2 linked regions of the Macaca mulatta genome follow. The protein of the gene in region 1 interacts with the protein of each later gene in a pairwise test. Links are inferred from orthologs where the notes say so. Each region holds a gene or a part of one and is shown in the gene's direction. Other genes may lie near its edges.

Region 1 (3,815 bases):
GAGTTCTCTCTTTTACAGCTTTTGTGAGGAAGCCTGCATTGTTTCTCCCAGCACTTGGTCCAAGGTAACTTTCTGTGATAACAGAATGTTGTATATTGAGGCTGTTATGTAGCCACTAGTCACATGCAACTATTAAGCAATCAAAATGTGGCAAGTGGAACAGAAAAACTAAATGTTTCATTTTAATTTTTATTAAGTTAAATTTAAATTCCCATTCATGATAGTGGCTACTGTATTAGCTACACAGCTAGACGTTTATGCGTCCTCTAAATTCTAATGCATTTCTTCTTTCTGGAGAGAAGACTTTAGCTGGACATGGTGGCACATGCCTGTAGTCCCAGCCACTCTGCCAGGGTGAGGCAGGAGGATTGCTTGAACCCAGGAGGTCGAGGCTGCAGTGAGCGGTGGTCATGCCACTGCACTGCAAGAGAGCGAGAACTTGTCTCATAAGAAAAGAAAAAGAGCCCGGGTGCAGTGGCTCATTCCTGTAATCTCGGCACTTTGGGAGACTGAGGCAGGTGGATCACAAGGTCAAGAGATCGAGACCATCCTGGCCAAGCAACATGGTGAAACCCCGTCTCTACTAAAAAATACAAAAATTAGCTGGGCGTAGTGGCGCACCACTGTAGACCCAGCTGTTCGGGAGGCTGAGGCAGGAGAATCACTTCAACCGGGGAGGCGGAGGTTACAGTGAGTCGAGATCACACCACTGCACTCCAGTCTGAGCGACAGAGTGAGACTCTGGCTCATTAGAAAAAAAAAAAAAAAAATAGAAGACTGAGAAAAGAAAAATAGTTTAGAGCAGTCTGAGCTATGTGAGGTATGCAAAATTTATCAGGACCAGTGAGACAGGAGTATGGGTCTTCAGTTAAGACCCCATGTTTAAAAGCATTTTGTTCCTGACTGGCTGCCTCATCTATTACCTACATGTTCCTGAGATTTGTAATAAAAAGAACAATGTATAGCCAATCAAAAGCTTATGCTATTTTAATGTAAATTCTTGGTAAACAATTTTAAAAACGGCTTTAAAACTGCTTTTTTTTCCCGTTAAATAACCACTTGCAACTGCTTGCTAACGAGGACAACTTGAAACTCTGCATCTGGGTTGCAGTTCTCAATCGTGGCCCAAACAAACTCAGCCTCAGCTTCTTCCTTTTAAGTCCTCTTTTCTTCAATACAAAATGAGATAATAGGGGTTGGAAGGAAAACCTTCAAGACCTATGGAGGTCAGTAGCAGCCAGCTCATCACATAGAGGTGCAGGTGAGGTGTATTTTCATCATGGTAAAAATTCTGGCTGCTTCATCTCCATCTCTAGAGCCAACATTGGAGCTTTTCAATAAAAGCTATGGCCTCAACCACCAGCACCAAGAAGATGATGGAGGAAGCCACCTGCTCCATCTGCCTGAGCCTGATGACGAACCCAGTAAGCATCAACTGTGGACACAGCTACTGCCACTTGTGTATAACGGACTTCTTTAAAAACCCAAGCCAAAAGCGACTGAGGCAGGAGACGTTCTGCTGTCCCCAGTGTCGGGCTCCATTTCACATGCATAGCCTCCGACCGAACAAGCAGCTGGGAAGCCTCATTGAAGCCCTCAAAGAGATGGATCAAGAGATGTCATGTGAGGAACACGGAGAGCAGCTCCACCTGTTCTGCGAAGACGAGGGGCAGCTCATCTGCTGGCGCTGTGAGCGGGCACCACAGCACAAAGGGCACACCACAGCTCTTGTTGAAGATGTATGCCAGGGCTACAAGGTGAGTGTGTGGGTCAGGGGGCCTTGGTAAGTACCAAATCTTATCCTGCTCCCAGGAGCTGAGATGATTTAGCCTGAAACCTAATATTATGGTTTGGAAATACAGCTTTCATCATGTCATTCTTCTGAAAAATAGTTTATGATGATTTCTTGCTAAATTATCTAGACTGTCCGTTCTGACCTTCAATGGGATGGTTGGACTCATCTCTATCCATCTGTGTTATGATGAATTTCTCCTTGCTTTAGAACAGGTTGTTCTCAAACCAAACACCCGCATTTTTTCTTGCTTCACACTATGAATATCATTTGAAAAACCACAATATGTAAAACCATGCAGTAGGGCCTGCAAACAGGGAAGAAAGACCCATTACCTTTTAGGTATCTACAGTCTAGTAAAGAAGATAAACCATCAAAAATGTCTGCCTGGAGGTCCCTGGTTTTGGTGGTGGGGAGGGACATTTAGGGTAGGGAGTGGTTCATCTCAGAAGTAACTCTTGAAGGACACATAAAAATTGAACACCTATTGGGGGATTTTCATTTGGGGAATGAAGGGTCAGTGACATTGAAAATATCACTCTGGTACCTATACTTTTTTTTTTTTTTTGAGATAGGGTCTTGCTCTGTGTCCCAGGTTGGAGTGCAATGGTGTAGTCTCGGCTCACTGCAGCCTCAACCTCCTGGGGCTCAAGCAATCCTCCCACCTCAGCCTCCCAAGTAGCTAGGACTACAGGAATGCACCACTATACCCGGATAATTTTTTTATTTTTTGTACAGACATGGTCTGGATTTCTTGCTTATACTGGCCTCAAACCCCTGATCTCCCTCCCATCTCAGCCTCCCAAAATGCTGGGATTAGAGGCATGAACCACAGTGCTCAGCTACTCTGGCATGTCTATAATAAAAGGAATATCAAGGAGTAAAATTCAAACTATCCATATAAGAAAGGGAGGAGAGGGCAGATTTTAAGCAAGATTCAGGAAGAAGAGTAAAAGATTTGGAAATGCTTGGTTGTGGAAGGTGAAGCAGAGGGAGAGGTTTTGTGTACCATCCAGGCTTCTTGCCAGAAAGCATATTAAGGAAGGAGGGACTTTGCTGTTGGCAGCATGGAGGAATGGGCATAGTCCTGATGTCCTTTTTCCTTTTCTGTCCTGCCTAGATTTGAGGAAAATGTTGCCCCCTGTGTCAGGCTCCTTATTCTGTCCTCCACGAGACAGAGGTGGTCTTGTATGAAGGCTCTAAGTCCTTCTAAGGACATGTCAATCCTGACCCCTACTCAGCTCATGGCAGCTCTTCCTTAAACTCCATGGAACAGCTAATAACTGCAATGATGATATTCCAATTTGAATTACTTTTCCACCAAGTAGTAAGAAAAGGAGGCTGCTTATGTTGAAATTGAGTTTGGTCACTTACTAGATGGGCAATTTTGGGCACGTTATTTAATGTCTTGACACCTTGGTTTCCCCATCTGTAAATGGGGATAATAGCAGTGTCCTCCCTCCCTAAAACACACACACAGGAGGTGGTTATAAGCTTTGAGGACATTAAAATATAGAATGCATAGAATAGCACTTGGCATATAGCAAGGACAATGTCATCTTTTGCTAAAACAGTTACATAGAGCCCTTTCCTGAGAATGCTCGAGAATTAATGAGTATACTTGTTGGGTTTAGAGAGGACAGGAGACAATTCTTTTAGCATTGATTACAATTAGCAATTTGGGTCAGCTTCAAATCACTTGGCATCCTGATTTTTCATGACTCATAAGACACAAAATTTCATGTGTGCCAAACACTGGTATTGGTTTTGCTTGGTTCAGCATGTTATTTTACAAAATCTTTTAGATGATGATTACCTTGTTCTATATATAACTTTTTCCTGGCAGGACTCTAGTGGAGGGTGTAGCTCAGGCTCTGGGTCAGCAGATGAGGGTGCAATGCTCCACCAGCTGGCAGCCATAGCCCTTTGGGCAAGTTATTTTACCCCTTTCTTAGTCTCATTTTCTACAGCACAGCAATGATGTTTAAAATCCTACCAACTATTCAGGGTTGCCAAGGGGATC
Region 2 (3,815 bases), on another chromosome or scaffold:
GTGTCTCCCATCTGATGATACAGGCAAGATACCTCTGCAGTGGGACCTTCCCCTTCAGCAGCCTAAGGACTAAGCCCTGCGGGGACTTTTAAGTCTGGCCAGTCACTGGTGTTCAACCTCCTTTGACACTGGGTTCAATTTCAGGGTTGAGAATTCATATCTTTCCATGGGATGGGGTGTGGAAAATCTTTCATCCCTAAACTATCGGATAGTCCTTTCTGCTAATAGTACCCTTTCCTTTCTGCTAATGGTACCCTTTGAACCACAATAGCTAGGAGAAGAATATCTGAAGTTGAGGTGCTCAGAGAGCTGACATTACTTCACTGCTTGCCAAGTGAATGATTTGGCGGGGGGAGGGAGAGCACCCTGCGATTTGTCTGTCTTCGGGGGCCCAGTGCAGTTCTTTTCCCTTAAAGGACACTTGTCATCTCTCATTAAGATTCCAAGTGAATCAGCTTTGAGAGAAGAACGATCTTTAGGAGCTTGTGGGGAGGGAGTAGATGGCAGCACATGTTTAAGGAAAGGACGGGGGAAGGTGGGGGGAAGAGGAGCGGGTGAGGAGGAGAAGGGGGAGGAGAAAGGGAGGAGGAGGGTAGGGGGAGGTGGAGGAGAAGGGTAGGGGCAGGTGGAGGAGGAGAAGAGGGGGTGGAGAAGGAGAGGAGGGGGAGGAGAAGGAGGACGAGGCAGAGGAGGAGGAGGTTGAGGAGGACAGTGAGAATCTCTCTGGTCCTAGAAGCTTGGCAGCCTTTCTTCGGCATCTTGTTCTGCCGAGTGACTGTCATTCTGGGCAGATCCCCATGTAAGAACATTGGGTACCTACAGAATGGAACTGGTGTCATAAGCAACTCTTTGTTCGGGTTATTGCTCCCTTGAGTGCTCTGAGGCCTCCAGACAGTCTCCATGGAAAAGTCTGCAAAAAGCCGTCCCCCTCCCTGCCCATAGAAGGTGAAGAATCATCAACCTGCCAAATATAATTTTATGTAAAAGGACAAGAAGAGGTCTCATAATCTTAATGGGATTACATGGCAAAAGTGCCAGAATCATGGTAAATGGCAAAAAGGAAGCATTTTGTAAAATTCCACGGAGGCATGTTTACCAGTTTGTGAAAGAGGAGTGGCTAGGCCGGGTGCGGTGGCTCATGCCTGTAATCCCAGCACATTGGGAGGCTGAGGCGGGCAGATCACTTGAGGTCAGGAGTTTGAGACCCGCCTGGCTAACATGATGAAACTCTGTCTCTACTAAAAATACAAAAATTGGCCTGGCGCAGTGACTCATGCCTGTAATCCCAGCACTTTGGGAGGCCGAGGCGGGCGAATCATAAGGTCAGGAGATCGAGACCATCCTGGCTAACATGGTGAAACCCCGTCTCTACTAAAAATACAAAAATTTAGCTGGTGTGGTGGCACGCGCCTGTGGTCCCAGCTACTCGGGAGGCTGAGGCAGGAGAATCGCTTGAACCCGGGAGGCAGCGGTTGCAGTGAGCCAAGATCGCGCCATTGCACTCCAGCCTGGGTGACAGAGCGAGACTCTGTTTAAAAAAAAAAAAAAAAGAGGAGTGACTAACCTCTGATCTGAAGAGGACAGAGCTGCCCTGTCTTGTTGCCGGCTGCATCTTCATTTGTTTACATTCTTTCTTTTTTGAGACAGAGTCTCACTCTGTTGCCCACGCTGGAGAGCAGTGGAATGATTTTGGGTCACTGCAACCTGCACCTCCTGGATTCTAGCAATTCTCCTGCCTCAGCCTCCCAAGTAGCTGGGATTACAGGCATGTGCCACCACACCTGGCTAAATTTTGTATTTTCAGTAGAGGTTTTGCCATGTTGGCCAGGCTGGTCTCGAACTCCTGACCTCAAGTGATCCTCCCGCCTCAGCCTCCCAAAGTGCTGGGATTACAGACGTGAGCCACTGCGGCCGGCCAACATCCTCACTTGTTTGCAGTCTTGAATCTTTTCCTATACCCTTGTGACAACAGAAAAATTCAAGTTTTCTGGACTCTGAAAAATCAGAATGGAGTTTGACATGAGGTGGTTTTATTTTCTCTTACCAGTAATTGAGAAATTCACAGAGAATACCAGATTCTGCCTCATCTGTAACTATCTGTCAAAGATCATCCCTGCCTTGCAGTCCCGCTGCACGAGGTTTCGGTTCGGTCCCCTGACTCCTGAACTCATGGTTCCCCGCCTGGAACATGTCGTGGAAGAAGAGAAGTGAGTATTTTGCGGGTCTTTGGGGATGCAGTGTAGTAGAAACAGGCTTGTGGGATGACTGATGGTTCGTATGTAGAGGAGAGGATGTTGGAAAACGACTTTGCTGAGTGCCTAGCACAGGGGAGGCACTGGGGAGCGTCTACTGCTATCATTTTCTCTGCTGTCTCAAGGCCATTCCTCATAAAAGTCTTTTGGTACTTCATTTTTCTTGATTCCATCCTCCTCCCCTGGAAGCTGCCCAATTTCCTCCTACTCTTCTTTGTCATTGGAAACTGCAGGCTGCTGAGTCCCTTCTGCAAAGATGCTTCCAGCCTTTTTAGACTAGAAGGGAAGGTTCTGAGACATCACATTCTGTGTAATCAGATGCCAAACAAGTAGCCGACCTGAGCAGCTGCTTGTTGTAAAGGAGGAGTTTGGGCTGTGTGATCATGGCTTGTGCCAGGCCTCTGCTCCCCAGAGAGCAGAATTCAAGGCGACTGGCTCCATGGGAGAATGCTTGTTCCTAAATGCAGGCTGTTCTCGTTTTGGTTGGCTGTGAGTACTAATGTGAAGCCCAGGTCCCTAAAAACCAGAGTGAATTCTAGATCAGATAGATCATGAGATTATTAACTCTGTTCCTCTCTTTCCTTCATTCCTTTAAAGCCTTAATCATTCCAGACCATCTTGTTCCTTTGGTGAATGCTAGTGCTCTCCGGGGACCTCATAAATCCCTTCTGCTTATTTCTTTCAGAGTTGATATAAGTGAAGATGGAATGAAAGCACTAGTCACTCTTTCCAGCGGAGACATGCGCAGGGCTCTGAACATTTTGCAGGTATGGTCTCAGCAAATCCTTTTGTTTTTGAGACAGAGTCTTGCTCTGTCGCCCAGGCTGCAGTGTAGCAGCACAATCTCAGCTCAGTGCAACCTCCGCTTCCTGGGTTCAAGCGAATCCCCTGCCTCCTGAGCAGCTGGGATTACAGGCGCCCACTACCACGCCCTGCTAATTTTTGTATTTTTAGTAGAGATAGTGTTTCGCGCCCTGCTAATTTTTGTATTTTTAGTAGAGATAGTGTTTCGCCATGCTGGCTAGGCTGGTCTCGAACTCCTGACCTCAAGTGATCCGTCCGCCTCGGCTTCCTAAAGTGCTGGGATTACAGGCGTGAGCCACCGTGCCCGGCCTGGTCCCAGCAAATCCTGAGTCATTGTTTTGTCATAGTTTTTTAAGAAAGACCTAAGCAAAGGCATGATCAATCTGTACATTTAGAAATCTACAACTGGTAAGACCTTGATCTCATAACCTGCTGGATTTCCCCCTCCTTACTTTGTATTTTGATTAATTGAAAAAATCACTTGTTGCAGGGCCAGGTATGGTGGCTCACGCCTGTAACCCCAGCACTTAGGGAGGCCAAGGCAGGTGGATCACCTGAGCCCAGGAGCTGGAGCCCAGCCTGGGCAACATGGTGAGACTCTGTCTCCACTAAAAAAAACATGAGCCAGCTGTGGTGGTACATGCCTGTAGTCCCATCTACTCAGGAGGCTGAGGCAGGAGGGTGACTTGAGCCTAAGAGGTCGAGACTGCAGTGAGCCGTGATCATGCCACTGTACTCCAGCCTGGGCAACAGAGCAAG

Evidence for each region.
Region 2: the proteins of TRIM38 (region 1) and RFC5 interact in binary tests that used the Homo sapiens proteins (3 or more experiments, as listed by UniProt). The link is inferred for Macaca mulatta from reciprocal best matches to the Homo sapiens genes TRIM38 and RFC5.

What each region holds. Positions count from the first base shown.
Region 1 is NC_133409.1:157,140,281-157,144,095, reverse strand, and holds part of TRIM38 (E3 ubiquitin-protein ligase TRIM38), read left to right. Parts: intron 1-1,316; 5' UTR 1,317-1,346; coding exon 1,347-1,757; intron 1,758-3,815. UniProt on the Homo sapiens protein: E3 ubiquitin-protein and E3 SUMO-protein ligase that acts as a regulator of innate immunity. Acts as a negative regulator of type I interferon IFN-beta production by catalyzing 'Lys-48'-linked polyubiquitination of AZI2/NAP1, leading to its degradation.
Region 2 is NC_133416.1:125,292,791-125,296,605, forward strand, and holds part of RFC5 (replication factor C subunit 5), read left to right. Parts: intron 1-2,047; coding exon 2,048-2,207; intron 2,208-2,937; coding exon 2,938-3,019; intron 3,020-3,815. UniProt on the Homo sapiens protein: Subunit of the replication factor C (RFC) complex which acts during elongation of primed DNA templates by DNA polymerases delta and epsilon, and is necessary for ATP-dependent loading of proliferating cell nuclear antigen (PCNA) onto primed DNA.